4 linked regions of the Xenopus tropicalis genome follow. The protein of the gene in region 1 interacts with the protein of each later gene in a pairwise test. Links are inferred from orthologs where the notes say so. Each region holds a gene or a part of one and is shown in the gene's direction. Other genes may lie near its edges. The genes, in order: qrich1, hspb8, pogz and nfix.

The links.
Region 2: the proteins of qrich1 (region 1) and hspb8 interact in binary tests that used the Homo sapiens proteins (3 or more experiments, as listed by UniProt). The two-hybrid records come from large-scale screens. The link is inferred for Xenopus tropicalis from reciprocal best matches to the Homo sapiens genes QRICH1 and HSPB8.
Region 3: the proteins of qrich1 (region 1) and pogz interact in binary tests that used the Homo sapiens proteins (3 or more experiments, as listed by UniProt). The two-hybrid records come from large-scale screens. The link is inferred for Xenopus tropicalis from reciprocal best matches to the Homo sapiens genes QRICH1 and POGZ.
Region 4: the proteins of qrich1 (region 1) and nfix interact in binary tests that used the Homo sapiens proteins (3 or more experiments, as listed by UniProt). The two-hybrid records come from large-scale screens. The link is inferred for Xenopus tropicalis from reciprocal best matches to the Homo sapiens genes QRICH1 and NFIX.

Annotation. Positions count from the first base shown.
Region 1 is NC_030680.2:136,783,136-136,790,408, reverse strand, and holds the end of qrich1 (glutamine-rich protein 1), read left to right. Parts: intron 1-340; coding exon 341-455; intron 456-625; coding exon 626-734; intron 735-1,447; coding exon 1,448-1,602; intron 1,603-2,260; coding exon 2,261-2,360; intron 2,361-3,961; coding exon 3,962-4,154; 3' UTR 4,155-4,843; downstream 4,844-7,273. UniProt on the Homo sapiens protein: Transcriptional regulator that acts as a mediator of the integrated stress response (ISR) through transcriptional control of protein homeostasis under conditions of ER stress.
Region 2 is NC_030677.2:165,803,247-165,812,103, forward strand, and holds the start of hspb8 (heat shock protein beta-8), read left to right. Parts: upstream 1-4,425; 5' UTR 4,426-4,668; coding exon 4,669-5,053; intron 5,054-8,857. UniProt on the Homo sapiens protein: Involved in the chaperone-assisted selective autophagy (CASA), a crucial process for protein quality control, particularly in mechanical strained cells and tissues such as muscle. Displays temperature-dependent chaperone activity.
Region 3 is NC_030684.2:144,801,400-144,809,768, forward strand, and holds part of pogz (pogo transposable element with ZNF domain), read left to right. Parts: coding exon 1-104; intron 105-251; coding exon 252-369; intron 370-484; coding exon of another isoform or gene 485-528; intron 529-601; coding exon 602-916; intron 917-1,910; coding exon 1,911-2,111; intron 2,112-2,234; coding exon 2,235-2,344; intron 2,345-3,418; coding exon 3,419-3,741; intron 3,742-4,026; coding exon 4,027-4,181; intron 4,182-5,017; coding exon 5,018-5,118; intron 5,119-5,240; coding exon 5,241-5,387; intron 5,388-5,523; coding exon 5,524-5,655; intron 5,656-6,181; coding exon 6,182-6,360; intron 6,361-6,937; coding exon 6,938-7,078; intron 7,079-8,105; coding exon 8,106-8,165; intron 8,166-8,247; coding exon 8,248-8,363; intron 8,364-8,369. UniProt on the Homo sapiens protein: Plays a role in mitotic cell cycle progression and is involved in kinetochore assembly and mitotic sister chromatid cohesion.
Region 4 is NC_030679.2:139,500,411-139,508,779, reverse strand, and holds part of nfix (nuclear factor 1 X-type), read left to right. Parts: intron 1-1,459; coding exon 1,460-1,519; intron 1,520-2,421; coding exon 2,422-2,496; intron 2,497-2,601; coding exon 2,602-2,722; intron 2,723-4,083; coding exon 4,084-4,220; intron 4,221-4,604; coding exon 4,605-4,727; intron 4,728-5,194; coding exon 5,195-5,373; intron 5,374-7,715; coding exon of another isoform or gene 7,716-7,872; intron 7,873-8,369.

The DNA of each region.
Region 1 (7,273 bases):
GGCAACAACAAAAATACAGTGTAATACTTTTATATAAAAAAAAAACACAGTGCTGGCAAGCAGTTGTCCATAAATAGCAACCACCATATTGCTGGCTGAGGGTTCTTGTAGCGCCTCACATACGAAAAATGGTTTGGAGGGTTGAAGATCCTCTGTGATCTTCTGTATTCTATATTCTAAAGTCTTCACCTTTAAATCATAACCTGATTGGCTATGCTCTACCCCCCCCCCCCCCCCCCAGTTGCTTCCTAGACTGTACTGTTGTGTGTGCTTTTGTAACCTATCATGTAGAATGCCTCATTGTACACAGGCATTAACTTATTTTTCTCTTCGCATACAGTACCTGTGTGAGAATGGAAGAGTAGACGACATATTTTCTGACAACTACTACATCAAGTTTACAGAGTGGCTTCATGAGGTTCTGAAAAATTATCAGCCCAGAGTCACTCCTATTGGTAAGAACACTGAACATCACTAAATATTGTTTCTCACTGTCCTTCAGGTGCGTCACTCGTACCTCCGTTATGGCCACAATTTTGTGGGTTCGTTTCTGGGTTAAATGTGTGATAAGATGGAAATACCTGGAGATGGAGATATCTTTCCTTATTTGTTCAATTCTTTTTAGGATATGTGATCCCCAGCCATGTGACCGAGGAAATGCTTTGGGAGTGTAAGCAGCTGGGCGCCCACTCTCCTGCCACACTACTTACAACACTTATGTTTTTTAACACAAAGTAAGTAATCTGAAAATAATAAACCACTTATTAGTCAGCAGATTTTGCCAATGGAAACTTTAGACACTTTAACTTAGCGGATATTTTAATTTCCAAAGGGCAGCATTACGGTACTTATATCAATAAATATACACAACACTTCTGCATAGAGCAAAGTAGAATCCATACGTTTAAGGCACATTTGTTGAACAATAAATCTTGTAAAAAATAAAAAAATGTTGGCCTTTAACTGTGCCATAACCTTTTTGCTTGCTCAGTGAACAAAGGTAGCAAATAGGCCAACTCTCTCCTATTAGCTACTTGGCATAGAGTATTCTTAGTATCTGCTTGCCCTTTAGTGCGCAAACATCACATAGTAAGTAGTCGAGCTGATGTATGAGCTAGGGCAGCTTAGGGCACTGTCTTCAAGGAGTTTTTATGTTCTCCCCATGTCTGTGTGGGTTTTGTCCATGTACTCCAGTTTCCTCCCACACTCCAGAAACATACAGGCAGGTTATTTGGCTTCTCACTAAATTGCCCATAGTGTGTGGGAATGTGATAGGGAGCTTAGATTGTAAGCTCTGCTGGGGCAGGAACTGATGCAAATGATGTATAGTCACTGTAAAGTGCTGTGGAAATGTGTCTGCACTATATAAAAAGGATTAGGAAATAGTTATAATTCATAGTCATGTTATAAATGGCCTGTTGTAACAAATAACACTTTCTACCAACAGATATTTTCTGTTAAAAACTGTTGACCAGCACATTAAATTGGCCTTCTCCAAAGTCCTAAGGCAAACGAAGAAAAATCCTTCCAATCCAAAGGATAAGAGCACGAGCATCCGGTACCTGAAAGCACTTGGGATCCATCAAGCAGGGCAGCAAAAAGGTGACAACTATAGTTTTATTCCAGTATCAAGGTCCAAGCCTAGTAAGGACCAGCTAGTTATGTTTCAGATGGCTAATGCCTCGATGCTGAATAATATAAGCTTAAGAGGTTTAATGTAGAATGACAAAGAACCAAGTGACCAAAAGGCCTGATAATTACCCATCAGTGCATTTTTTTTTTATGGCCATATCAATTTCCATAAAATTACCTCCTCCTTTGTGCAGTAGACCTAAAGGACACTATATATAACTAAAAACTCCTGATTTACATCAGCAGAACAGACCAGGAAAGTTCACTTAGGGCTGTTTTGACATGACCCATGGTTACATTTGACACTTTGGAGGTTGGTGGCTTCTGTTGCTGTGAGCACAGGGATTCTCAAATTACTGGATCCTAAGTGATTGAGGGATTTGGGTGTTAGCCCTTGTTGGGAAGCTGCCAGGCTTTAGGTTTTAAACAGCTGTCATGTGAGGACACTGACCCTAACTGCCTGATTCAAGCACTCTTTGTAGGCACTCAGAATTGCCGAATCCATGCATCCTGAATAAAACGTGTTGTGATGTTACTTGGGGTTAGTGTGGCTTTAGCAAAGGGCAGATATCATGGAAACAATGTCAAGCACTATATATGATTTTGATGCAAAAATTATTTCCCTCAGGTTTCTCAATAACAGACGACATGTATGCAGAGCAAACAGAGAACCCAGAAAATCCATTACGATGTCCCATTAAATTGTATGACTTCTACCTCTTCAAATGGTATGTACATCTTTGTGATCTAGTAATCCTCATCCATATTCTCTAAAGCACTTCGTCCACTTTGGTACCCTTCATCTGGTTATGAATCTACTGAAGGTCTTACATGTGTTGGTGGGAATTGGTTGAAGTTCACCCAGCCTAACTTTTCAGCAGACCACAGTGGTTTATGATGATGTGCTTGCTACTAACTGGATGAAAAAGGGAGAACTGGGGCAGGGTTTAACCACTATCCCATAATACAGTGCTTCCCAAACTGTAGGGCTGGCCACCCTAGGGAAACCTGTGCAGTCACTTGGTGGCTGCTCCAGCCTTTGGCAGTGATTACTGATAACAATGTTTAAAGAGAAAGAAAAGGTTTTACCCCATTTAATGCTGTCTAATAGAGGCCCCTGCGGGTACCTCATCGCTGAAATCATTTTTTAAAAACCCACTCCTGTCTCAAGTATTGCTCTCCCGAAGAAATTGCTGAGTGTGTACGATTAGAAGAAAATGAACCCCCCGTTTAAGGGTGAAGGCACACAGAGCTATTTAGTAGCAGCTATTAATGAGCTGGAGAGAGTGCAGAGACTGCAACTAAACTGGTAAAGGGGATGGAAGATTTAAGCTATGAGGTTAGACTGTCGAGGTTGGGGTTGTTTTCTCTGGAAAAGAGGCGCTTGCGAGGGGACAGGATTACTCTGTACAGGTACATTAGAGGGGATTATAGGCATGTAATGGGGGATGTTCTTTTTTCCCATAAAAACAATCAACGCACCAGAGGTCACCCCTTTAGATTAGAGGAAAGGAGCTTCCATTTGAAGCAGCGTAGGTGGTTCCTCACGGTGAGGGCAGTGAGGTTGGGGAATGCCCTTCCTAGTGATGTGGTAATGGCAGATTCTGTTAATGCCTTTAAGAGGGGTCTGGATGAGTTCTTGAACAATCGGAATATCCAAGGCTATTGTGATACTAATATCTACAGTTAGTATTAGTGGTTGTATATATAGTTTATGTATGTGAGTGTATAGACTGGTAAGTATAGGTTGTGTGTGCTTGGTTTACTTGGATGGGTTGAACTTGATGGATTCTGGTCTTTTTTCAACCCTATGTAACTTGTCAAGGCTACTAAACACCAGAAAATCCCCTGCCATAGACAATACTGAGAATTGCCTCTGCTAAAACACACATGGAGACAATTATCAGTAAATGATCAGCATTGTCTGTTTTCGTAGCTGTTACAAGTAGCTGCTATTAGTAGCTCTGTGTGTCTTCACCCTAACCAATAGCCCTCTGCAGAGGGCACCCTCTGCTCTTTCTCCAACCATATTGGTGCCTGCAAGTCCCAGGGCCCCCTATACCGGCTGTGTAACTGCAGAGGGTTTAGTGCCTGTCATCTGTGGCTGCATCACATCATGTTTCTTCTGAAAGTCGTCACTGACCAGGAGCATGCACGATGGAGGCATAGACCATATCGGCTTCCACTAAGTATGTTCCCACTCAGCAATGTCTGCCCTCTGTAGGGGAAGGGGTTATGGTTTCTCTTGTCTCTATCTCTGTAACCTATAATTGTTCAATTTAAATGCATAAGATTATTAATGGCTTGTTGTTGTCCCTCCACTCAACAGCCCACAGAGTGTAAAAGGACGAAATGACACATTCTATTTGACGCCAGAACCAGTCGTAGCACCCAACAGTCCAATCTGGTATTCTACACAGCCAATCAGCAGAGAGCAAATGGAACAGATGCTAACCCGAATTCTGCTCATCCGAGAGATCCAGGAAGCCATTGTGGTTGCGAGTGCCAGCAACATGCACTAAATCATTCTTTCTGGGCACAGAAGTCATGTAAAAGGAAGAGAGGAAATAAAGAAACCTGTACAGACTTTTACACTATGAGAAGATGCCTACTTTTTCTGTTATTTTTATTTTATTTTTTATTGGTGTAGTTATGGAGCCCTTTTAGGCTTCTCCTGTTTAAAATAAAGTGTAAGTAAAAGCGCCCAAATGTGCATTTAAAGACAAAAAAAAATCTGCGTTCCTAAATGGCTGGAAAGCGAAACGGTTATTGTTATTTTAAACCTTTTTCCCCCCCACCCCATATCCTTTTAGCATGGTCTAGAAATATTTTATTTTATTTGGGAAAAGAAAGAAGGCATCTTAGGTTGAATGGGATGGACTGTGCAGCTGCTCACGCCATTGCCTACCACATATATGGACATTTATTCTGTATTTTCAGTTGCAGGGCCAAGCGACCCCTGGTTTTATATAACTACATATATAAAAATATTTCAGAAAAAGTCGGATTATTTCACATTAACCTGAATATATTTCTTTTTTTTTTTTTTTTTCCTGGCCCAAATTATCAAGGCCTTAAACTGCAGGCATATGAGCCTATGTAAATTTATTGTAATATAATCTTGTGTATCTGCTGCAGATATCTCCATATTTCTCCATTGTTCTTATGCTCTTTGTTTTATTAAGAATGACAAGCACGTCTTTTTAACATGCCACTGACCAGTGTGTTTTTTATTTAGAACCTAATGCCCAGCCTCACTTTCCGTGGAATGGAACTATATTTGGCAAAAACAAGAAATTTTGATAACTGAGAGAAATATTCACTAAGCCTCTTGCCGTGAACATTACATTTATAAACGCAGATATAAAGCACACCTTTGCATATGCTTTCAGCAATAGAAAGTGCCTCATCTGCCCAGTGAGTCTCTGGCTTACATGTTTTTCAAATTAAATGTTACTGTACTTTGTTCTGTCTTTAAGATGCCTGTAGACCTTGAGACCCCCTCAGACCAAACTGAGCTAATCTGATCAGTCTGTAGCCCTACAGAGACTGCATCAATGTCCTCATCTTGATATCTGGCTCCTGGTATGGATGGCAGGATCAGTGCTCGGGCCTAGCTAGCCAGGCAACCTGCACCCACCCCCATTATTCCAAGTGCTGTCACAAGGGCCTGGACTAGGGATGGGTGATGAGATACATGCCTAGCTCCCCACCACCATTGTGCCCTAGTCACGTGCCTCTCGTGCCTACCCTTAGCTCCGGCCTTGGCCAGTACTCGCCCATACAGGGACCAATAAGCTGCTGACTTGGTCTTGAGGGGCTTGAGGGGAGAAAGCAGTTTGTATTGGCTTTACTCCCACATTCTGTTCCTTAGATTCAGTGTGGGCGTATATGAAAATATTCTTTTGGGGTTGATTCCCCCTGCATTACAGGCTGTCCTTTATTATTTCTGAGGCAAACAAAGCACACTGACTGCACCTTTGGCAGGGGGCTTAGATGTAAAAACAAACAGATTCCACTGCAAGGTTTCATTTTAGTCATTGTAACTAAAAATATAGGAAGGATACATTCATAGCAAAAGTATATACTGTGGTGTCAATTAAGGTGACATCACTTCTCATTAATCTAATTATACAAATTCTCTTGTATAGTAATAGAATAATTTGGCTGATGTCCAGTAACCCACAGCAACCATTTTGGTGTTTATTTTGAACCTGCTGGGTTGCTATTGGTTACTAGAATTAAAGATTCCCCCCTTCTTGTATAGGCCCCAGCTTTAGATGCATCTGTTTTTACTTTTGTCTCATACTCCTTTAGTGTTGCTCAGACTGGGGAGGTCCCAAACCCAATTCAACACTGATTGGCTTATTCCTTCAGCTAAACCAAATTTTACAATTGTGTCAACTCTAACAAAGCTGCTTCATACACCCAATGTATTGGCCTTGGGTACAATATCGAAATTTGTGTCAAATGACTGCCCTCACAGCATATGGAGAACCATGTGCTTTAATGTAGAGTAGTGCAGTGGGCCGGGTACCAGCAGCTGCAAAAAAAAAAACCAAAAACTGTACCATGTGGGTAGGATTTTTAGATGTGGGTTGGTGGGTCTTATCTATATTTCTTTTATCTATATTCCCTGCCGACTTCCTGTTTATTGGATCCAGGATCCAGTCCCAACTTAATAGTAGAGATGTAGCCCTGTCTCACTTTCTAGCTTTAAAGGAGAAAGAAAGTCATTTTGGCATTTAATAGATTTGCCACATTAGTGCCACCTAGAACAATATATTTATTCTGCAGAAAGCATTACTATACCTGAGTAAACAACCCTAAAAGCTCCCTCTGTTTGTTTAAGATAGCAGCTGCCATTTTAGCTTGGGGGGGGTGGGGTGTGAGGGTTAGTTTTATGAATCCTTATGGGATGAGGGAGCAGGAGAGAGGAGCAAATTGGGCAGACTCCTGCCCCAAACCTGAATAAGCCCTAAAGGAGAGGAAGTCTGATACTGAAGAACATGTTTACAAAGAAGGAGACAAGAAATTCTGTGTTTCTTTTGTAAGAGGACTTTGTATTTACATAGACCTTTCTGATACAGCTTACTTAGTTTTTACCTTTCCTTCTCTAAGTATAGTGACAGTCAGACCAAAGTGTCAGTTATACCAAGTGAACTTCAAGGTCTCGGGCTAATGTCACAAGGCACAGTTTTACTGGCGGTGGGGGACAAAATAATTTAGTATGAAACCACTGAAGTGTCTGGACTAAATGGGCCGTTTCTCCTCCATCTGTGCAACAGTTGCCTTGTTCTTGTGAATAAAGCTTCAGAGTTCTCTCTGGGGTAAATCTATAGACCAATTCCCCAACTTATCTGCCTAGTGGCCCCAGTGGCCCTACCCGAAAATCGACCAGGTGTTAATTGGGCAGGTCTTCTACTGGATGGATCTCGGACCCATTTGCATCTTTCAATGATAACGGTCATTGGGAAACCACAAAATTAAAGACACTATGTATTCAATTAAGTCTCCAAAACATGTCGACCCTAAAGGCCCAGGGGCCACCCACAAATGCGGGGCTTGAAACCAGAATATAAGAAAATCATCCACATTTGGGTCGTTCCAACTTACGCCGGGGGGGTTGACTTGCTCTTTA
Region 2 (8,857 bases), on another chromosome or scaffold:
TTGACAGTGAAACCTTTCATGGTCACTTCCTCCATCCTTTTGCTTTCTTCTGGCAGATTTTAACCATTTCAGTGCTGGGTGCCTTTGACCTTGCTACAGCACATGTTGCTAGTAAACATTGCAGTGCAGAACAGATTTAAAGATTTAAAGGCAGCCCAGAACTGTAGAATCTATGGATAATGGTATCTTCATATTGATATCTATATTGATAGATCCTACATTTGCCAGTACTAAAGCATTAGGTAACAGTTATTTGACTGCATATTTGAGTTGCATCAGAACAAGGAAAAACACCCTTTCTGCCTCCAAAATGGCTAATTAAAAAGCATACTAAAAGTATCAACTAGCAGTTAGGCAGGTTGAAGTTAATGGACAAGTTTCTTTTGTCAACCTATGTTACTATGTATTTTAATACTATACTTAGGGGCTGATTTACTAACCCACGAATCCAACCCGAATTGGAAAAGTTCCGACTTGAAAACGAACATTTTGCGACTTTTTCGTATGTTTTGCGATTTTTTCGGATTCTTTACGAATTTTTCGTTACCAATACGATTTTTGCGTAAAAACGCGAGTTTTTCGTAGCCATTACGAAAGTTGCGTAAAATCTGGCGATTTTTCGTAGCGTTAAAACTTGCGCAAACAGTTGCGCTTTTTTTCGTAGCGTTAAAACTTACGCGAAACTTTGCACCTTTTAAGTTTTAACGCTACGAAAAATGCGCAACTTTTCGCGTAAGTTTTAACGCTACGAAAAAAGCGCAACTTTTTACACAACTTTCGTAATGGCTACGAAAAACTCGCGTTTTTATGCAAAAATCGTATTGGTAACGAAAAATTCGTAAAGAATCCGAAAAAATCGCAACAAATACGAAAAAATCGCAAAATACCGATCATTATGAAAAAAACGCAATCGGACTCATTTCGACCCGTTCGTGGGTAAGTAAATCAGCCCCTTAGCCTTATACTATGTATACTATACTACACTACACTATACTTTTGCAGTAGGCAAAAAAGGTGGCCTAGATGGGTGTTTAAACATAGAAGCGGGATAGAAGTTGAATACAAGGAATATCACTTGAAATTAGCTGAGGATGGATTCCAGAGCCATGGCTGCACAGAAATAAAAAAAGAAAAAATATTTAGGTGAGCTGATTATCATGCAATCTATATGGGTAGCCCTTTCCCAGTTACGGATGCTGCAGATCTGTGGCTCCAACTTAGGCAATAAGTGGCACCAGCAATACACTGTTGCACATATGCATTTGTAATATTTTCGGACAATACCATACAGCCATACAGCTCAAAAGATGGAATCTGTGCATCGGTGTGATATCAGCGCAAGCAGCTTATATGTTTGCAGGAAACTACCTATTCCCCTTCTTTCCTGTCCTATAAGAGGCACAGCTGTACAGACTCATGTTGGCTGAAACCATCCATTTACCCATACACATTATATGGCCACTGGTCCATGTGTGGAGCACTTTAATTTACAATTTGGGTGCTTGTATCTTGGCATGTGGTGCAGAAAAAAATATCACACTAATTACAATAGGCTCTACATAATGAAGCATTTCTCCTTTACTAAGTGAAGCATACTCAAGGATCATTGGTTTGCCTAGGCTGTAGCTTGTATGTAAACACTAAAACTAGCTCTGTGTATATATCTTATTAAAGCTGGTGTTTCATGTACTGATACAGTAATTTATTTTCGCTATATGCATGGCGGCTCACCCATATACTATGAATATTAAACTGTACATGTTGTATAATTTAATATGCCCATGCATCTTATCTGCTAGTGTATGGTGCATCAGTGTATAGGAAAGTGAAGAGGAGCTTCAGCTCTTCACTTCCTCCTGCTCCAACTGCCAACTTGGCCTTCTGTCCAAACAACTGGAATAATATAATTGTGAACAAGTGGTGTATAGCCCTTTGTATGGTATCAGTCATTGGGCCCAAGGGTAACTGATTGACTGGATACCTGTGAGGACTGGCCCCTGTATGGCTACCTTATGACCTTAAGAAATCTATGGAGGCAGTCTACTCCAATGTGTTTTAATTAACCTACAGGGGATCTATATGAATGATCAGAGTATTGCTTTAAATGATACAGAAAGCTTTTCCACACAATGTCAATGTATTTCTAGAATTGCAGAAGCCTTATGCTGCTAGTTTTTACTGCATGTTCCACTTAAAGGAGAAGAAAAGGTAAAAATCACTGGGGGGTACCAAATGTTAGGCACCCCCAGTGACTTTAATCTCTTACCTTTTACCCCGGGCTGGTGCTCCTGTGAGAACAAAACGGCACCAGCCCGGGGTAGCAGCGAGTGTTTCCTCTTCCTTCCTGAATCCAGGGGCCGGCGCATGAGCCATAGAGTGAAAAAGATGACTTTTTTGTTAAAGTTTGGCTTTTCACTCTACTGCGCACAAGAACGAAAAAGAGACACTCAGATGCAAGTACCCTGGGCTGGTGCTCTTTTCTTCTTACAGGAGCACCAGCCTGGGGTAAAAGATAAGCGATTATAGTCACTGGGGGGTGAAATTTGTGAATAAACATTGATTATGATTTATTCTTTCAGTTAAACTTATCCCAAAAACCCCTGGCTCACTTTTTATGGTTGTAGCTAACTACTGCCTCTAGATATACACTACGTGGATAGCAGTGTGCATACACCCTAATTCTAATAATTAGAATTGGCTATTTAAGTCTCAACTATCATTCGCCACACAGGTTCCTCAACATCAGGGGTCCCCAACCTTTCTTACTTGTGAGCCACAGTCAAATGTAAATCATAAAAGTTCATGGAGGAGCCAAATAAGGGCTAAGATTGGCTATTAGGCAGCCTCTATGCACACTATCAGCTTACAGGGGGCTTTATTTGGTAGTAAATCTTGTTTTTATTCAACCAAAACTTGGCACCAAGTCAACTACCTGGTTTGGGGGCACTGAGAGCAACATCCAAGGGGTTGGTGAGTGACAGGTTGCCCCTGAGCCACTGGTTGGGGATCACTGCTCTACATGATACAATGGCGTTCTTGACATATGAATGCTCCCTATTTTGTGGCAAAAGATTGAGGATGACCTTTCCTGTTTCAGCCTTATAATTACCCTATGCATAATATGAGGTCCATACAGAATTGGTATGAATTGGCTAAAATGGGAGAGGAAGAACTTGAATGGTCTGCAGCAAGCCCTGACATCAATCCAACTTAACATATGTGGCAAGAATTGGAATGTTGACTGTAAGCCAGGCCTTATCCCTAACATCAGTGCAAAGTACATATGAATGGAAGTAAATCCTATCCAAAACCAGGGCACCCAAGGTACTCTGCCTAGAGCAGCAGCAGCTTTTGGGGGCGTCCCTTGGATGTCTATATCATAGATTTATTTAAATAAAAAAACTCACCTGCCACCGGAGAGTTCCTGCATAAAACCAGTGATGGAGCTAGGGGGGGTGAGAGGTACATGATGCGGAAATGACATCCCGTGTAGGCTGCACGTGGCATCACTTCCGCAAACTGGGGGCTCATTTAGGTCTGGTGTCTAGGGTGGCACTGGACCTAAATACAGCATTGCCAAGTAGCTACTAGTAGATCCCCCAACTAGAATCAAATTAAAAACTTCCCAGTACAGCAGAGGGTTAAGGATGTTCTAGCAGCAAAGAGAAGAAAATTTTAATTAAATACATTTCAATAAGATGGTGTATATAAAGTGCCAAAATACTGCTTTGCAGCCTGCATTGGTCTGTATCTCAAAATCCTATTCATGCAAAGGGTGCTCTAGAAATAGAATGGAAAAGAATGTCAATTTTCCAAAATTGCCTAAGGGTTTACTTGCCCTTTAAAGGGGAAAACTAAATATATGCCAAGCATGCATCAAAATAAGGCTTGTACTGCAAATTAAAAGTTAAGTATGGGTTATTTAACCCATACAGAAAGGTACCAGTTAAAGGTAAAATGAAGTCTATATATAATATAATTTGTACAGTACAAAATATGCAGAATGAATAAGGCATTAGAAACAACTTAATGGAATTTATCCAATGGAGGGGGTGACCTTGTTTTATAAGAGTTTAATTTAATAACAAGTATAAAATGACACAGCCTGTGGTTTTCTCTAAATACAAATGTCGACGCGATGGGGGGATGGAAGACGCGAGAGGAATCAAGGAGGGGTCAGCAGGAGAAGGCAGTCTAAAATTGGATACCCTTAGTAATAGGTCCAGTCTCTTCTGGGAGTCATCAGCTGTTACAAAAGCAGATTCTTGTAGGGTGTTTCATAAGCTTCAAATACCCAGCTGACAAGCTACAGGCAGCAAGCATTAACAGGCAGATATAAATAGGAGCCAGTGACTGCAGCACAGAAGTTTACAGAACTTTCTCGACTGATGGCACCAGTGTTTAATAGACTTACTGGCAGCCACACGAGTCAAAGGATCAAGGCACCTCTCTTCTTTTCAATGAGTCTGCTCAGATCCAGAAAGATTTTAGATTGCTTTTAACTGATTTAATTCCACAGCTACTCTTTTTTTCTGGTTATTTTTTATTTTTTTTTGCTATTAAAGCATTCGCCAAGAGGCTGCACTGCCTGAAGATTATTCTGCCTGTACGGAAATTACAATAACCATAATCAGGTTGACATTTTCCAGTCACAGCTAAAGAAAAATAATGGCTGACAGTCAGTTACCCTTCACCTGCCATTACCCATCTAACAGACACAGGGGAAGCCGTGATCCTTTTCGAGAACAAGGACTGTCATCTCGCCTTCTTGATGAAGATTTTGGCATTCCACCTTTTTCAGATGATTTAACCATGGACTGGCCAGATTGGGCAAGGCCCAGACTGACTTCTGCCTGGTCGGGCCCTTTAAGATCAGGCTTGGTGAGATCAGGGATGCCCCCACCCGTATATAATTCCAGATACACGGGTTATCCTGACGCTCGTAACACTGTAGCAAATATCAGCCAGCCATGGAAGGTCTGCGTAAATGTGCAAACTTTCAAGCCAGAGGAGCTGACAGTTAAAACGAAGGATGGCTTTGTAGAAGTTTCAGGTTAGTAACAATATATACATATACACATGTTCTTTGCTTCACTGATCATTTAGTTAGGCTTATCTGGGGTTTATTTACAAATGTAAGTATAGGATGCAAAGATTTTTACCCACAATGCAGCATTTCCCACCACAAATGTTGCATAATTGTGGCAGTGAAAGAGTCAGTATTGGCACTTAGCATAAAAAAGATGTATGTATATGATTCTTTAGGAGTTTAGCAAGTCTACTGCACCTATTAACACAGCCTGTAGTGGGGACCATGGAATTAATGCCACTTTCCGGGTGGCAGTAGCACACTTGAACCTATTAAGCAATTAGGAACAGAAGGTGGGCACTGATGCACTCGTGCCAATGCGCAACTATAGGGTTTTGTGTGCTAAAAGCTTAATCGTCTGACAAAAAGACTTCAGAGTTAATTTATTACTACTGGCATAAGCTTTGACCTATCATTTAATCCATGCATTACAGAATAGAAAAAAGGAAATAATAGAATTACTAATAAGAACATCTAGGCATAGCAAGCAGATAATAATCTGCATATACTGATAATATTTGCCTCAGAACAGCAAAGCAACTAACTAATTTGGGGGTTGTGTATGGGCAATGCTCCAGAAGTCCCAGATTGCTAGGGATTTTAGGGAACTGTAGTTCACCTACAGATAGAGGCCTGTCTCGGACATAATTTAAAGGGATTCTGTCATGATTTTTACAGTGTAGTTTTTATTTCTAAATTACACTGTTTACATAGCAAATAATTCACTCTACCATTTAAAATTTTATTCTTGAACCAACAAAGGTGTTTTTTAGTTCTACTATTGGTGTGTAGGCGCCATGTGCCTGAGTCTGAGCTTTCAGAAGGAGCCAGCGCTACACATTGGAACTGCTTTCAGGCAACCTATTGTTTCTCCTACTCCCATGTAACTGGAGGAGTCCCAAGCCTGACTTGGATTTCTTACTATTGAGTGCTATTCTGATATCCACTGGGAGCTGCCATCTTGCTGCCTTCCATTGTTCTGCTGATCGGCTGCTGGGAGGGAGGGATATCACTCCAACTTGCAGCTCAGCAGTAAAGTGTGACTGAAGTTTATCAGAGCACAGGTCACGTGGCTGTGGCACCCTGAGAAATGAAGAATATGGCTAGCCCCATTTCAAATTTTAAAATTAAATATAAAAAATCTGTCTGAAAAACAGATGCAGATGCAGATTGCAGATTCTGCTGGAGAAGCTCTATTAACTGATGTGTTTTAAAAATGTTTTCCTATGACAGTATTCCTTTAATGATAAAGAAAAGTTTTTTGTCAGGGGGCTAACATTATCAAGTACACTAAAAGTGCACTACTTCGTTGGTGGATTATTAGCACTGGACAGTACTGAAACTGGTGGCAATCGATGGTGACTTTGCAATATCTTTACCCCAGCCTAGCAGTGTGCAGAATGTTACACTGGGGGTTAAAGCCAATATGGCTTCAGGCTAGTGGATTTATGTGTTCCAAGTGTGTGACATATGTCTTGTCAAGTCTTCATCACACACATCTTAAACTCACTCATATCCTTATACAGAATGCAATGTGGTTACAGCAAAGCATGCACAAAACACTATTTACTAGATCATGCTAGCACAGTAGTTCTCAAACTGTCAGGCTGTCTCTGTGAGGCAGTTGATGAGGGGGGCACTTGAAGGTCAATAAGGATAAAATGTGGGGTAAATGTACCTGTGATGTATATCTCTCTGCCTACAGTAAGGGGACTGTTTCTGCTAAGGCAGATATTCACAATTTGCGGGCCATGGAAATAAGACAGCATGCAGAAATAGGGCGGCACCAGTACCTGAAACAATGACCTGTTCCCTGTGTCTACACTTGTACTTTTCATTCCTTCAGGCTCAGTGCATCAACTGGGCCACATGGTGATTGGTCAATTTGACAAGAGGTTTAAAGTTGAACTTCCTGTCATCTTTCTGTTGCTATAGCAAAAAAGGAAAGGCCCTTTGGGAGATGGGCAGAGAAGGAGAGCAGAAGACTTAAAGAAAGAAGAGAAGGAAATAACAAAAAAGGCTAGGGAATAAATAGTTACATAGTTAAGTTGGGTTGAAAAAAGACCAAAGTTCATCAAATTAGCCCTTCCAACTGAACCCTAGACAATGTGAAAGGAAGCGAGACTGGGATATACAGTAAGAGGTACTTTGAAAAACAAAGAGGTAATACTATATTGAATTAAACCAAACAGAACATAAAAGGAAACTTTAGAGAGAAACCCATATATAAAGAAAGGATTTATCAGGTATCCTGGCAGGTATTCTGGCCCATTCCTCATGGCTGATCCTTACATATATGTATGTGCATATGTGTGTGTTGTGGGCTAGAGGACTTGAATAAATGTTAGATATCAAAGGGCCGGCTGAGAGAAAAAAGTTTAAGAACATCAGAGCTAATAATACACTAATTATGCTCACATATGTGCACATTGACAGGAGGAGAATCTGCCTTGTGTACTTGCTACTAGCACAGGTGCAACTGCTTGTAAGGCAACTGCCACTGGGAAATGCTGTCTTTAAAAGTGACAGTCATCTGAAAATTAGTTGTCACCAAGTTTATGATAACAAATAAATAAATAGCAGTGAACACAGGCCATTTTGAGCATTTAGTCCAACCTTCTTAGCTGTTAATTTCCATTGGAAACAGAACTGTGGAAATGTGCCACATTCCTTCTACTTCTTGCTCCTTCCATGGTTAGTGCAACTCACACCCATAAGACAGTACAGTTTGGCAACCCTCCAAACTGTACTGCTAATTGGTTTAATTACTCTTCTTATAAAGGGGCCTATTTATGATTGCTCAGGCCTTCAGGAAAGGAAACTCTGGGTAAATCTGCTAACTCACGCTGGGGTTTTGGGTCTGAATACCTTGGAAACTTTCCTTATTTTTCCTGAACGGGTTTCTGTTAAAAAAAACAAAAAACGTTTGGTAGCTTTAATGCAATTTGGAGCTGTTAGGCTCGAAGCCTTCAGCAATCATAAATAGGCACACAGGCCTGAGCATTTAGTCCAACCTTCTTAACTGTTAATTTCCATCGGCAACAGAACTGTGGAAATGTGCCACATTCCTTCCACTTCTTGCTCCTTCCATGGTTAGTGCAACTCGCACCCATAACACAAAATTCACAGACGAGTAAATTCAGTGCCTGACAGTTCAATGAAAGGGTATTCATTTATTGTGGGTAATCCACATGGCACATGGTGCCTATTTATTTGCTCCTTGCCTACCCCTCTAAATGAAATTACCAGTGGTTTAAAATCTTTTTTGTTTAAAAAAATAAATGTACCTGTCCCTAATTGTAGCCCACCATTGTGAACGGTACAGTATATATCTCCTGCTTGTCACATTCCCATGCTTAGCTTGCAGGGGAAAGCAAATGTCATTGTTCAAACATGGCAGCTCTAAAACAGGGTTGGCAGCAGGTACAGGGTTATATTGGGATAGAAGGCCAGGATAGGCTTTTTTTTAAAAGGGAACAGCTAGGGGTGTCACTTGGACAGTGCTAATAATAGGGGACATAGAAAACAAAGATAGGCCTCTATTTTATTTCAAGAGAGGTGGCAACCCTCCAAACTGTACTGCTAATTGGCTTAATTGCTTCTTATTAAGGGGCCTATTTATGATTGCTCAGGCCTTCAGGAAAGGAAACCCTGGGTAAATCTGCTAACTCACGCTGGGGTTCTGGGTCTGAATACCTTGGAAACTTTCCTTATTTTTCCTGAACGGGCTTCTGTTAAAAAAAAAAAAAACGTTTGGTAGCTTTAACG
Region 3 (8,369 bases), on another chromosome or scaffold:
CGATGGTCCCTCAGCCGATGCTGCGCCCAATGCAAGTCATGCAGAACGCCAACCACGCCAGCAACTCATCCGTGGCCACCCAGCCCATCTTCATCACTACCCAGGTAAGGGCAAATATGGCGGCTGTGGTACCTACTGACATCCAGTCTACCATTTCCTGTTTATGGGCGGGACCCTGCCCTGGGCGGGGCTCACTCAGCAAATCGGCACAGTTCTTTAACATGCATTAATGGCTTATTGGTTTGTTGCAGGGTTTCCCGGTGCGGAACGTGAGGCCGGTGCAGAACGCCATGAACACCATGAATCAGGTGGGGATAGTGCTGAACGTGCAGCAGGGCCAGACTGTCAGACCCATCACTATCGTGCCAGGTAAGTCCGAATTGGACCCCAGTCTGTCACCTGGATCAGTCCGCTCATTAGCGGAAGCCATGTTTATCCAGCTTTCCTTGGTCTGTATCCTGTCCCTTTCTCTCTCCGCCCCCAGCGCCAGGCACCCAGTTCATGAAGCCAGGTGTGGGGGTACCGCAGGTCTTTACCCAAGTGACCCAATCTTTCCATGATTCTGGTTCTGTATCCTGTCCCTTTCTCTCTCCGCCCCCAGCGCCAGGCACCCAGTTCATGAAGCCAGGTGTGGGGGTACCGCAGGTCTTTTCCCAAGTGACCCAGGTCAGACCGGCGCCTTCTGTTCCAGTGCGGCCAGCCACCAACACCTTCACCACCGTCATCCCGGCCACCCTGACCATCCGAAGCACAGTACCCCAGTCTAACGCACAACCCAACAAGCCCACGGCAAGCATGGCCACTACCTCTGCACCCAGCCAGCCCATCCGACAGATTGCCATGCAGCCTCAACAGACCCAGATCCTGGCAACCAATCAGAACAGCCAGAGCACGAGCTCCAACCTTGGTAAGCTTGGTAAGCTGGGTCTCTCCTGTCCTTCCCCAACTTGGTACCAGTGACTGTGGGAGAGTGAATAGTTACATATGGGTCGGTTCCCCCTAGGCCCAAACTGTACTAATGGCAGTGAGGTGTTTATGGGTCAGTCCCCCCTAGGCCCAAACTGTACTAATGGCAGTGACGTGTTTATGGGTCGGTTCCCCCTAGGCCCAAACTGTACTAATGGCACCGACGTGTTTATGGGTCAGTCCCCCCTAGGCCCAAACTGTACTAATGGCAGTGACGTTTTTATGGGTCAGTCCCCCCTAGGCCCAAACTGTACTAATGGCAGTGAGGTGTTTATGGGTCGGTCCCCCCTAGGCCCAAACTGTACTAATGGCAGTGACGTGTTTATGGGTCAGTCCCCCCTAGGCCCAAACTGTACTAATGGCAGTGACGTGTTTATGGGTCGGTTCCCCCTAGGCCCAAACTGTACTAATGGCAGTGACGTGTTTATGGGTCAGTCCCCCCTAGGCCCAAACTGTACTAATGGTACCGACGTGTTTATGGGTCAGTCCCCCCTAGGCCCAAACTGTACTAATGGCACCGACGTGTTTATGGGTCAGTCCCCCCTAGGCCCAAACTGTACTAATGGCACCGACGTGTTTATGGGTCAGTCCCCCCTAGGCCCAAACTGTACTAATGGTACCGACGTGTTTATGGGTCGGTCCCCCCTAGGCCCAAACTTTACTAATGGTACCGACGTGTTTATGGGTCAGTCCCCCCTAGGCCCAAACTGTACTAATGGCAGTGACGTGTTTATGGGTCAGTCCCCCCTAGGCCCAAACTGTACTAATGGCACCGACGTGTTTATGGGTCAGTCCCCCCTAGGCCCAAACTGTACTAATGGTACCGACGTGTTTATGGGTCGGTCCCCCCTAGGCCCAAACTTTACTAATGGTACCGACGTGTTTATGGGTCGGTCTTTTGTACAATGGTCGCCCACTGACCAGTTTAACCCATGCTTTCCCAGTGAGTATTGCCAACCTGGTGGCTGTCAATAAGACCGGGGAGCCCAACGACCTGGTGAAGTTCGTGAATGCGGTGAGCGGCAATCAGAGTGCGGTTCTGAACTCCAGCCAGATTGTCCTGCCCAGCACCACCAGCAGCAGTACCAGTAACAGCAGCAGCACCGTGCAGAGGATCCTGCCCCCCGAGCCATCGGGAATGAAATGTAAGAAGCTCACCCTTTTACTTTCTGGGTTCTGCTCAAACATTGGGCCCGGATATAATGTCCCATCACCGTTCCCCCCCCCCCGTCCATATGTACTCACTGGTATCTCCTCTCACCTCTCAGGTACCGCTGCCTCCGTATCCTCCGCCGACTCCTCCGACAGCAACAGGAAGTTCTGCCCAAGGTGCCGTGCTCAGTTCCGTGTGACGGAGGCGCTCAGAGGCCATATGTGTGTAAGTCCCCCTCCCTCCTCCTCCTCCGATGAGAGTACAGGTATAGGACCCGTTATCCAGAATGCTCTGGACCAAGGGTATTCTGGATAAGGGATCTTTCCGTAATTTGGATCTCCATACCTTAAGTCTACTAAAAAATCAATAAAACATGAATTAAACCCAACAGGATTGTTTTGCATCCAGTAAGGATTCATTATATCTTAGTTGGGATCAAGTACAGGTACTGTTTTATTATTACAGAGAAAAGGGAATCATTTAACCATTAAATAAACCCAATAGGGCTGTTCTGCCCCAATAAGGGGTAATTATATCTTAGTTGGGATCAAGTACAGGTACTGTTTTATTATTACAGAGAAAAGGGAATCATTTAACCATGAAATAAACCCAATAGGGCTGTTCTGCCCCAATAAGGGGTAATTATATCTTAGTTGGGATCAAGTACAGGTACTGTTTTATTATTACAGAGAAAAGGGAATCATTTAACCATTAAATAAACCCAATAGGGCTGTTCTGCCCCAATAAGGGGTAATTATATCTTAGTTGGGATCAAGTACAGGTACTGTTTTTTTATTACAGAGAAAAGGGAATCATTTAACCATGAAATAAACCCAATAGGGCTGTTCTGCCCCCAATAAGGGGTAATTAAATAAATCTTAGTTGGGATCCATTACAAGATACTGTTTTATTAATACAGAGAAAAAGGAAATTAGTTTTAAAATTCTGAATAATTTTGATTAAATTGGGTCTATGTGAGACGGCTTTCCGTAATTTGTATATTTCTGGATAACGGGTTTACGGATAAGGGATCCCATCCCGGTAATACTGGTGCTTTATGGTGCAGATAACAGGAAGCTATAGAGGGGCAGTATTAGAGGCTCTCACCTTTATGGGATGGAGGGAAGCCCTGCAATAGGAACATAACTGTACATTGTGTGTGCGTCTCCATTAGCACAATATAGAGGGAAATTGAGAGTATATAATGGGAAGCCTTGGTGGGAAGGGTTTGGGGGATCGGCGGAGGCTCTCACCTGTGCTTATAACTCACTTTCCACTTACACGACCTCCATTTTACAGTACTGCTGCCCAGACCTTCTGGATTTCTCTAATAAGAGCAAGGAATCGGAGCTGCCCTCACAGACCACCCAAGCGATCTGCACTGACAAAATTATATCGGCAGCCACTCCCTCATCCACCACTCCTTCCACAACGGCGCCCCCCGCGGGCAAGGGGCAGGAATCTTCTCAGGAGGAAGGCATGCAGGGCAAGCTCATCATGCTGGTGGATGACTTCTACTACGGGCGGGATGTTGGGAACACCTACCAGATGCAGTCCTATCCCAAAGTGGCCACGACGTTCCGCTGCCCGCACTGTACCAAGAGGCTAAAAAATAATATACGGTAAGGGTTTGTCCTGCTCCTCTGGGTCCCTGGGGTAAAGGGGAAATAGTTAAACTCTATTGGATGTAGGGCATTGGCTTAGATAGGGGTGCCATACTGCTTAGTTGGCCCACAAGTTGGAATTGAGCTGATAACCTGGGTACCATTTGGGGCAGGGTTTTGGTATCTAAGTAGTATGATGCCCAGGGGTTTTTGCTAGTGGTTTACTCCTCAGTGGGTGTCTGTGCCATGCAACCCCAGATCTAGGGGTGTAACCTGTTACCCATAACTCCTTGCTTCCTTTAGGTTCATGAACCACATGAAACATCACGTGGAGTTGGACCAACAGAACGGTGAGGTGGACGGGCACACCACGTGCCAACACTGCTACAGGCAGTTCTCCACCCCCTTCCAGCTGCAGTGCCACCTGGAAAACGTGCACAGCTCGTACGAATCCACAAGTAGGTGCCACACACAGGGGGAGGAGCGATTTAGGCCCAAGGGCCCCTGGGCTGGCTTTGATAGGAGAGTTGGCCCTGCTAAGCATTATCATCCGCAGACATTCTGCCTATAGCATAGGAACATAGGATTGGGGCTGGTACAAAATTTGCCACAATGGCGCCTACCCACTGGCTCTGATTGTGACCTCCTAGAATGAAGGGAAGAAGATTTATAGAATTCTGTAGTGTAATTAACAGTTACTTTGGCCAACTAGCGCAGTAGATCTGGTTCAGAATTCGGCCAAGATTCTGCCGATTCAGCCGAATCCATGGTCCTGGCTGAATCTGAATCCTTAATCGTGACTTTTTGTCACATAAACACAGAAGTAGAAAACTTTTTTTTGTTCTTTTTTTGTTTTACCCTTCAAGTTAACGTAATTTGCATATGCAAATTGGGATTCAGTTTTGTAATCGGCCGAATCTTTCACAAAGGATTTGAGGTTCGGCCGGATCCCAAAATAGTGGGACCTTCTGTGATTCATTCATGTGATTGGACGACACAGGGATTACTTTGTCCCTTATTAGCTGCTGGGGGCGGGCGTAGTAAAAAAAAGAGTGGGTAGCAATATTCGATGAGAATGATGGGGAATGATGGGAAATTATGGGAGTGGGGGGCAGGGCTTGACGTGTAAGGGTGAAGACAAACATCGAGTTGTCGCAGCGACTTTTTCCTATTGGATATTTTTCTTAGTAAATGTTATACATTCAGGGGGGAAAAAAGGTTTAGTTTTACAGTTTTAGTGAATGTTGCCCCTAATGGTCGCTGTTGCCCCTAATGGTCGCTGTTGCCCTGGCAGCCAAGTGCAAGATCTGCGAGTGGGCGTTTGACAGCGAGCCCCTATTCCTGCAGCACATGAAGGACACGCACAAACCCGGCGAGATGCCCTACGTGTGCCAGGTAAGGGCAGTTGTCTCTCTTCTCTGCCCCTTCCCCCCCCCCCCCCCAACCCCCCCCCCCCCCCCCCCCCCCCCCCCCCCCCCGCTCGGCTCACTTCCCTATCCTCCATTTCTCGCGGGCAGGTCTGCCAGTACCGATCCTCCATTTACGCCGAGGTGGACACGCATTTCCGGCTGAACCACGAGGACACGCGCTACCTGATGTGCGTCTATTGCCTGAAGGTGTTTAAGAACGGAAACGCCTTCCAGCAGCACTTCATGCGCCACCAGGTCAGTCCCTTTTCTGTTTCCCATCAGCCCTCTGGGGGCGAGTTTTTAAATCCCTGTTGAGTTTAATGGCGCCTGTATCACCGCCTGTTTTCTTTCTCTCGGCACGCGCCTCGCCCCCCCACCGTGGAACCCGCAGAAGAGCGTCTATCACTGCAACAAGTGCCGCCTACAGTTCCTCTTCGCAAAGGACAAGATCGAGCACAAACTGCAGCATCACAAAACCTTCCGTAAGCCCAGGCAGCTGGAGGGGCTCAAACCCGGGACAAAGGTAAGGGGGTGCTGTTTGGGGTGGGGGGGGTGATATAGGGAAGAAATTGATTGGCTGTAAGGGACAGTGTAATGGAACCTGGCCTGCTGTATTGCCCAGGGATAGTATAATGCAGGGGTCCTCAAACTTCTGACCCAAGGGGCCGGATCAAGGGCCCCTCAGACTGTTGGGGGGGCTGGACCACCATCACCAGCAGCCACCGCCGGGGGGGGGGATGCTGGTGAATTAGCCCACATTCTCTTTCACATCACGCCCACCACCGCCTCCATCAAACCAGACTGTTGTCTTCACCTCCCAACTCGTCCCCCCCAGCGCTACGGTAAGTCCTACCTGTACCAGTTCCCCCTGGAGTCCGTCCTCCATCTCAGCTCCCTGCTGAGTCCTCTCTCTCCACTTCCAGGTGGGAGGACGCAGTGGGGGGCCGGATCCAATCCGTGGGCCGTAGTTTGGGGACCGCTGGTATAATGCCTGACCCTTCCCTGTGCATCCCCCCCCACCCACTTCCTCTCATTCTCCGTCCCAATAGGTTACAATCCGGGCATCGAGGGCACCGTCACGGTCCCTTCCTGTATCGTCGGCAGACACCACGTCGATGCCCTTAGTGGACATGGACACGGACTCGCTGGCCGACTCGCTGTATTCCATGCAGTACAAGCGCACGGTGAAGAAGACGTCTGAGAATCTCTCCAACATCCACACCAAAAGGTGACTGTGCCCCCCACTAGGTGCCCGACTTGTGCCCTCGGACCTTGGGCACTGGTGTACATTACAGTTGTAAGAGAGAGAATCTATGTAGGGGGGCATTAAATGATGTGCAAAACTAAAATGCACCCCTAGTGATGGGGGATGGAGTGCACTTAGAGCAGAGGTGGGCAAACTATAGCCTACCATCTCGTGCCCCCTTAAAAGAATTACAGCCCCTGATTGGTTGCGCCCCGTGCATGCGCATGACATCAGCACACACGGGGCGCAATCATATAAAAGGATGCAGCCGGAGGAGGGAGGGAGCCGCAGGTAGCTGGGGGAAGAGGGAGAGATGGCGGATGCTGGTGGGAGGACGCTGGGATGGAGGATGCTGGGGGTGGAGCTGGAGGATGCTGGGTGGGGAGCTGAGAGGCCCTGTAATTTGTGACACTGGCCTGGCCTGGCGGTAAGTCAATGTGACCCCTGAGCCAAAAAGTTTGCCCACCCCTGACTTAGAGTATAGATTTTGGGGAGTCACAGAACCTCATCTCATTTATTATTCCTTTCACTTTCTCATCATTTTTGTTGTTGCCCCCAGACCACCCTATGGCAGGCAGTCGTGCCTGGAGTGCAGCTTGGACATCACTGACTTCCAGAACCACTTCCCCACCTACGTGCACTGCTCCCTGTGCCGCTATAGTACCTGCTGTTCCCGGGCGTACGCCAACCACATGATCAAGTAAGTACCCTCCAGCTGGCCAGTTTGTAAAGGGATTCATGGGTGGGTATTGTGTATATACTGTGCCAGTGACACTGGTTGGGTCAGACAGACCCGGTATTGTGTATATACTGTGCCAGTGACACCGGTTGGGTCAGAGAGACCCGGTACTGTGTATATACTGTGCCAGTGACACCGGTTGGGTCAGGCAGACCTGGTATTGTGTATATACTGTGCCAGTGACACCGGTTGGGTCAGGCAGACCTGGTATTGTGTATATACTGTGCCAGTGACACCGGTTGGGTCAGACAGACCCGGTATTGTGTATATACTGTGCCAGTGACACCGGTTGGGTCAGGCAGACCTGCTATTGTGTATATACTGTGCCAGTGACACCGGTTGGGTCAGGCAGACCTGCTATTGTGTATATACTGTGCCAGTGACACCGGTTGGGTCAGACAGACCCGGTATTGTGTATATACTGTGCCAGTGACACCGGTTGGGTCAGACAGACCCGGTACTGTGTATATACTGTGCCAGTGACACCGGTTGGGTCAGACAGACCTGCTATTGTTTATATACTGTGCCAGTGACACCGGTTGGGTCAGACAGACCCGGTATTGTGTATATACTGTGCCAGTGACACCGGTTGGGTCAGACAGACCCGGTACTGTGTATATACTGTGCCAGTGACACCGGTTGGGTCAGACAGACCTGCTATTGTTTATATACTGTGCCAGTGACACCGGTTGGGTCAGACAGACCCGGTACTGTGTATATACTGTGCCAGTGACACCGGTTGGGTCAGACAGACCTGCTATTGTTTATATACTGTGCCAGTGACACCGGTTGGGTCAGACAGACCCGGTATTGTGTATATACTGTGCCAGTGACACCGGTTGGGTCAGACAGACCCGGTACTGTGTATATACTGTGCCAGTGACACCGGTTGGGTCAGAGAGACCCGGTACTGTGTATATACTATGCCAGTGACGCCGGTACTGTGTATATACTGTGCCAGTGACCCATTTGCCCTTTTGTTTTCCAGTAACCACGTGCCGAGGAAAAGCCCCAAATACCTGGCCCTCTTTAAAAGCTGCAAACCCAGGTCAGTGCCGTGAGTGAGGGGAAGGTGTGGGACGGCCGTGGCCGCGACTCTCTTTGACCATCTTCTCTCCATTTCTTCGCAGTAGCGTTGTGGCACTTACCTGCTCGTCGTGTCCGTTTGTCACTCGGATCGGGGACGCGATGGCCAAGCACCTGGTGTTTAACCCGGCTCACTCCTACTGTAACGTCATTTACCCCGGTGAGG
Region 4 (8,369 bases), on another chromosome or scaffold:
ATGTCCCATAGTTCCCTCCTGTCTGTGTCACTGTATCACCCTGAAGTGGGAGGGACAGACTCCGTGTTCCATAGCCCCCTCCTGTCTGTGTCACTGTATCACCCTGCAGTGGGAGGGGCAGACTCTGTGTCCCATAGCCCCCTCCTGTCTGTGTCACTGTATCACCCTGCAGTGGGAGGGACAGACTCCGTGTCCCATAGCTCCCTCCTGTCTGTGCCACTATATCACCCTGCAGTGGGAGGGACAGACTCTATGTCCCATAGCTCCCTCCTGTCTATGTCACTGTATCACCCTGCAGTGGGAGGGACAGACTCCATATCCCATAGCTCCCTCCTTTCTGTTTCACTGTATCACCCTGCAGTGAGAAGGACAGACTCCATGTCCCATAGCCCCCTCCTGTCTGTGTCACTGTATCACCCTGCAGTGGGAGGGACAGACTCCATGTCCCATAGCTCCCTTCTGTCTGTGTCACTGTATCACCCTGCAGTGGGAGGGACAGACTCCATGTCCCATAGCCCCCTCCTGTCTGTGTCACTGTAGAACCCTGCAGTGGGAGGGACAGACTCCATGTCCCATAGCTCCCTTCTTTCTGTGTCACTGTTTCACCGTACAGTGGTAGGGACAGACTACATGTCCCAGAGATGTCAACCTACCAAAGGTGCACAACTGGGGGAACTGGGCATACAGCCCTCACCAGCAGAAATGTAGCTTCTGGTGAGGGTTTAGTAACTTCCTTTGAGAGTTCATCCTCTTTCTGTGGTAGTTTGGTAACTTCCTGTGGTAGTTTAGTAACTTCCTGTTTGTAGTTTCGTAAATTCCTGTGGTAGTTTACTAGCTTTCTAGGTGCCTGTGGGAATTTATTGGCTTCCTGTGGGAGAAAATAATGGTAGCTTGTACATTTATCACTTTTCAAAAGGAAAAATCATTTTTAGCCAGCAAAATATAGCCACTACTAATGTATGATATTAACCTTAGCCGGCAACACAGGGGCCAGGGACTGGCATAATAATGGACAGATCGGAATGGAGCGCCTCATACTAACACCTTTACCTGGGATCTCCGAGGGATATAATGACGTTTTTCATTCAGAGCAGAGAGGGGGAAAGAGGGATATTTGCTCAATTCTATATTCCTGTGTGACTGGCTTTTCAGATAAAGTACAATTTCTCTTGTCTTGTGACAGGACTGCGGGTTTCTCCCATTCTGCCTGCACCACATTGTTTTTAGCCACAAATGTAAAAATGCATCATTATTTTTAATGACATAATTCATTTGTAATTTGGCCCAACGGCTGCTGGTTGGGAGGAGAAAGACTGTTATTGCCAATGGAGTACATGCAACGGGATGGACATGTGACTTGTCAGCACAAATTACTTTTTTAACCAACATTTAAAATGACACTTTAAAGCTGATTATGGACTAACACTAATTTTATTCCATCGCTTCTCTCTCTTTACAGATTCTGGACAGTCGGACGCTTCAAATCAGACTGAGGTGGATATAAAGCCCCCTCCAAATGGTATGTTCCCCTGATAATTTTTCCTGTAGTGCATCAGTGGGTCAGCTCTGAAGCCACACAGTCCCCCCTGTTACTATTTCACCAGTCAGCTCCTACTTATATCACTCCTTACTATTTGTCCCTCCCTGTTGCTACCTAATCACCTCCTCCCCATACAAACACACTGTCTTGCAGCCCCCCAATTACACTCCGTTCCCCCAGAGCAGACCCTCCAGACGAGACTACCCCTTCCCCTTATACACTGCTTCCCTATCGCTCCTTTATACTAACCTTTATTTAAACTGTTTCTCATGCAGTTTCATCCTATTATTGCCCATTTCATACTCTTTCTATGAAGTGCTCCCCATTCACATGACCATTCCAATACAATTTTTCCCAGTAGCCCCATTAACATACACACTTTGCCCTCATCAATGCCTTTTCAATGCATTCTGTTCCTTTACCTGCCCATAACTATAGGATCCCTCCTGTTCCCATATAGTCACTCCCTTTTTCTTCCTACCATCATAAAAGTCTTCCCTATTATCCACATTTCCATAAATGTCATATGTCATAGCAAATCATATTTGTGTGGCATTATATACATTTTTATGCCAAAAATGCATCCACCCCCACCTATACTAGCTCCTTCCATTGCTTGGAACTTAACAGGTCCTCCATTAAAAATTTTAGTTAACTCCAAACCCCTCTCAGTCCATTTTTATCCACCTTCCTTTTATTTCTTTTGAGATTTTGTTTTTTAATTCTAACCAGGACTTTGGCTACAAGGTTCCATTGTAGCAGGGTCTAATGTGCCCAATTACATTTGTGAAATAGTTTCCTATAAGCTCCTCTTTAGCTTGTTATTACCTCTCCTCTCCCTGGAACCCCTAGGCTTTTATAGCCTCTATGTTTTCTTGCAGGTCACCTGTCCTTTCAGGATTGCTTTGTCACCTCAGGAGTGTGGAACGTCACTGAGCTTGTACGCGTGTCCCAGAGTGAGTTGGTAGGGTGTGGAGGGAAAGTAGAGAAAGGGAACCGTTGAATTAAGTCAGGGTACCTAAAGTGGAACTTACAAGTCATTGGGGTGTTTTGTTTTCTAGCACCTGTTGCCACATCATCTGGCCCCAACTTCTCATTGGCTGACCTGGAGAGCCCAAGCTATTACAATATAAACCAGGTGTCACTTGGTAGGCGGTCCTTAACGTCGCCTCCTTCCAGCAGGTAAGTCAGATGATCCTGAGATACACAATTTTGGACTTTCATGCAAAGGGAATTGTGGGAAAGCAGTTAATATTGAAGACCTTCTGAGTCATATAAAAAGTAGCTAGAGAAATGGTGTCTGTCCCTCCCACTGCAGAGTGACACTGACAGGAGGGAGCTATGTGACATGGAGTCTGTCCCTCCCACTGCAGGGTGATACAGTGACACAGACAGGAGGGGGCTATGGGACACGGAGTCTGCCCCTCCCACTGCAGGGTGATACAGTGACACTGACAGGAGGGAGCTATGTGACATGGAGTCTGTCCCTCCCACTGCAGGGTGATACAGTGACACAGACAGGAGGGAGCTATGGGACATGGAGTCAGTCCCTCCCACTGCAGGGTGATACAGTGACACGACACAGACAGGAGGGAGCTATGGGACACAGAGTCTGCCCCTCCCACTGCAGGGTGATACAGTGACACAGACAGGAGGGGGCTATGGGACACGGAGTCTGCCCCTCCCACTGCAGGGTGATACAGTGACACAGACAGGAGGGGGCTATGGGACATGGAGTCTGTCCCTCCCACTGCAGGGTGATACAGTGACACAGACAGGAGGGGGCTATGGGACACGGAGTCTGTCCCTCCCACTGCAGGGTGATACAGCGACACAAACAGGAGGGGACTATGGGACATGGAGTCTGCCCCTCCCACTGCAGGGTGATACAGTGACACAGACAGGAGGGAGCTATGGGACACGGAGTCTGCCCCTCCCACTGCAGGGTGATACAGTGACACAGACAGGAGGGAGCTATGGGACACGGAGTCTGCCCCTCCCACTGCAGGGTTATACAGTGACACAGACAGGAGGGGGCTATGGGACATGGAGTCTGTCCCTCCCACTGCAGGGTGATACAGTGACACAGACAGGAGGGAGCTATGGAACATGGAGTCTGTCCCTCCCACTGCAGGGTGATACAGTGACACAGACAGGAGGGGGCTATGGGACATGGAGTCTGTCCCTCCCACTGCAGGGTGATACAGTGACACAGACAGGAGGGAGCTATGGAACATGGAGTCTGTCCCTCCCACTGCAGGGTGATACAGTTACGTAGACAGAGATTGGTATGGGACATGGATATTGTCTTTTCTATGGAAAGTTAGTGAGGCTTTTGCCATTGTGACATAGTAGGGCAAATTAGCTAACACAAAAAAAAACCCATGACAGCCATTCAGATGTTTGCTTTTATTTTCTAATTTCTAGTGTACTAATTAAACTAATGTCTGATTGGTTGCCATAGCTAATTGGACCCATGCAGTAGAGCTCCTATGTTAGCAGTGTACAAAGTTATTATTTGCTTCTCAATTCCCACCTTACAGTTCTACCAAGCGCCCCAAGTCTCTTGATGACAGTGAGATGGAGAGTCCAGTGGATGATGTTTTTTACCCGGGGACAGGTCGGTCGCCTGCAGCAGGAGGCAGCCAGGCCAGTGTGTGGCCAAATGATGTAGACACAGGTAATGGGGCTCTTCATATTCTGTGCAGATTAATATAACACAGCGCTATAATGATATTATACCCTATATACATCATATTCAAGGGATTCATGACTAGACTGTTGGCAGACAGTCTGTATACTACAAATAAATTATCTATACATTTTCATACATTATTGGCAAATACTGGTCTTGTTATTGGTATGCAGGCAAAAGGGTATTGGGTACAATTTAGGTAAGTCTTGCTGTAAATCTGTATATTGCAGCAGTATTTCCAGTGCTTAGGGCTATGGCAAATAAGCACATTTGCTTGTGCCCGTTTGGCATACTGGGATACAAAATAGAAAAATGATGTAAAAGTACAGGCGCTTACACTTTGTGATTTTCCTCTCTGCTCATTTTAAGGGCCTGGGTCACTTAAAAAGCCGGGAAAGCTGGATTTCTGCAGTGCTCTGTCCTCACAGACCAGTTCCTCTCGAATGGCATTCACCCATCACCCTCTCCCAGTGCTGGCAGGAGTGAGACCAGGTAAGGGCCGGATCACATGCATGGTGCTGCTTGTTCCTTACAATATCACAATAGTATATATATAGGGCAACAATGTATATTTAATGATGTGTGTTCAGCTGAAGTGGCAGGTGTTAGGAGATAGATAAGGAAATGACTGCTGGAAGCAAGCGCTTAGAGGGTTACATCATTTGTTCTGCTCAACGGGGGCCGCTATCAGTCGGAGCTGATTCATACCACCTGTCTAACTTGGGAGCTGTTCAGGTACTTGATGCCATGTAGGTACCAGTATGCAATAAATCATTTGATGCAGGTATTTTTTTTTTGTCTACTGCAACAGCAGTGTATTGTATGCAGCTCCGTACAATGCTAGTAAAGGGGGTTCACTATGTGCACTGTTCCAGGTCGTACAGGAAGGGGATATTTGTGAATGCCATTACATTTTGTTTGTAATGATTTCTGAGACTTCTGACTTCCTCCACTTTCAGGAAGCCCTCGGGCATCAGCGTCTGCTCTTCACTTCCCCTCAACGTCCATCATCCAGCAATCCAGTCCTTACTTCACCCATCCAACAATACGCTATCATCACCATCATCATACCCAGGACTCTCTTAAAGAGTTTGTTCAGTTTGTCTGCTCAGACACCTCTGGCCAGGGGTCAGGACAGGTGAGTAACTCGCACTGAAGGTGGAGCAAAACCTGTTGTTTTTTTTTCTTTTTACGTTTTTTATCCATTTCTATCAAAACAAATAGAAAATAGTAGAAAAGGTTAAGTATTAGGGCTTAGAAAACTCTTTGCCATTGCAGGTAATTTTTATTTTCATTACGTATTTCTTATTTATGTTTTAATATTTTCAAATAACTTGTGTTATTTATACATTAATAACACATGTATAAATAATAAAAAGTTATGTGTTTAAAATATTAAGGATTAATCTAAAAATCGAAGTGCTCATTGCAAACAAATTTATATAAAACATGCTCAGCTTTTGCATTTTTTTTATGGGAAATGACTGGATTCTCATGATATATATATATTTTTTTTTAACTTTGATGGCGAAAATTAATTTCTGCTTTTGAAATAAAACTCATGAATTCAAATGATGGTTTCAAAAACTCAAATGTTCCAATGTTTAATATATTTAATAAGTGCAAAAAGTTCAAAAACACTCAAATGTTGAGTAGAATATGAATTCCAGTTTTTTAATGGTTTTATTTGATGGTGTTTTTTACATTCTTACTTATTAATAATCACACATTTGAGTTTGGTAAAAATTCAAGTTTATTCAGATTGAAAAAGCTAAAATTCACCAGTTCAAATTTGGATAAATAAACCTCCACAAGTCTGATTCTATTTTTTTTATCAGAATAAATGCAAATCTGATATTCCAAATTGTACCGAAATCCAAATTGTTATATGACACAAATGAAAGTCAAAAATTAAACCTAAATCATATAAAAAATAAATCCAGGTCTAGCAAAGGTTAAAAAAATAAATATATTTATTTTATGGCAGTTTAATAAATAATAGGTAGAAAAAATAAATAGGGTCGATAAAAATAAAAATCCTTTATTTTATCTGATTGGTTTTCAGTATTTTTATAGTGCAGAGGAAGCAGCTTGTTTTTGTAGTTTCATATGCTGTATACATATATTTTTATTTTTACAAATACAGGTATGGGACCTGTTATCCAGAATTTGAATCTCCATAGCTTAAGTCTGCTAAAAATCATTAAAATATTAAATAAACCCAATAGGATTGTTCTGCCTCCAATAAGGATTAATTATATCTTAGTTATATCTTAGTTATATCTTAGTTGGGATCAAGTACAAAGTACTGTTTTATTATTACAGAGAAAAGGAAATAATTTTTAAAAAAATAGATTTATTTGCTTGTAATGGAGTTTATGGGAATTGGCCTTTCTGTACTTCGGAGCTTTCTGGGTAACGGTTTTCTGGATAAGGGATCCCATACCTGCATTTTGTTTTATGGTCAGCAGACTTTATTGAATACCCTGTAACAATGCAACTTAATTAGCCAATCTTAATTGGTGTTATCTTTAGAAAACGACCCCAAGTGTAGCATTTTTTTTTGTGTAAAACAGCAATAACTGTCTGTGCGACTGCACAAAAACGGAAGCGCTGCTGTAGGGCATCTGCATTGTATAAATAAATAATACATGCGTGAATTTCGTTTTAGCGATAGCGTAGTGGGCGTACACTGATTGTTCACACATAGGTTGCCACAAAGTGTGTTTGAAGGTTTACAATAAACAGATATATTGCAAGATACCGCCCTTCTGGTAACCACGCTGGGCACTATGTTGGTCAGTATGCCGGGCTTTAGTTTTGGGGCTCAAGTGCCGTTTTGTTTTCCTACCACTGGATTTCTCTCTCTATAGAATGAAGCACTCCTTATCATTTGCTTAAATTAGATAATGGCTCAACCTAAATTATATACATATAACCTGCGATACTAGGTTTAAGTCATACTTCCCTATACAAAATATTCTGTGATTGTCAGCTCTTCTGTCCATTAATCCACATTGAAGAAAACATTGCACCTTATCTCTAAAGCTCCTTATTTCTACGTTCTCTGCTTTTGTTTTTTTCAATATCATCTGTTCTTCATTTATGTTTCGCTATTTTAAATTACAACCACAGAAGTCATTTTTTTCCCCATTAACCCCTGTTTTAATTAGCAATTGATTTATTTTTTCTAAAATGTCATAATTAAAAAATATGATAAGTTATCTATTTTACAAAGTTTTATTTTTTTTATGTTCAGTTTACAAAACCATGAATACTAATAGTAATCATTTTTAATCATTTTACGTTTTTCTTTATTATTATTATTTTTGCCTTATTTTTTTTAATTCATTTTTTATTTTTTTTACACATACCCCAGTTTCCCGTAGTTTTTAGGCACAGAATCATTTAGGGTCGGTGCGGGCAAGGGGCCACGCTGAGCTCCGTTTACTCTCGCTTTGTTATTTATGTTGTCCGCAGCCCAGCAGCGGGGCCCAAGGGAAAATGTCGGGTTCCTTTTTGCTGCCACCCCCTGCACCTGTGGCCCGGCCTGTCCCCCTTCCCCTGCCAGACACAAAACCTGTCACCAGCAACAACTCTGTCTTAGAAGGAGGACTGTCTTCTCCAGCGTCGCCCTGTAAGTGACATTACTCCACAAGTCCCATAAACAAGAGAGTAGATCAGTGTCGCTATATTATCTCAGTATATGGCATTGGGGGGGGGGGTTATAGAAAGAAATACTTTACAGAATGGAATAGTTTGAAAAATGGAAATCTTAATTAAAAAAGAAATGACGAGCCAAATTGAGGGCAGAGGATGAGAGATGAAAAATAAAGGTCATTTCTACAATATAACGTATAGAGGTGGAGGTCGGCCATTGCTGAATTCTACTGAATAAAGGCAAGGGGATGACTGCAGGATGAATAATGTCAAAATTAATTGAAACAAATTAAAAAGTCAAATGAGAAAATCAAAAAATAAATACAAATTGAAATGTGTTATGCTTTGTATGGTTTTTAGTACACATTTTGGCAAAATATATTCAGTACAGGGTGTGATGTACTCGTAGATATTTCCCATTGTGCACCAGGCATCATTCTAACCCTATGAACTGCATTCATCCCACTTAATTTG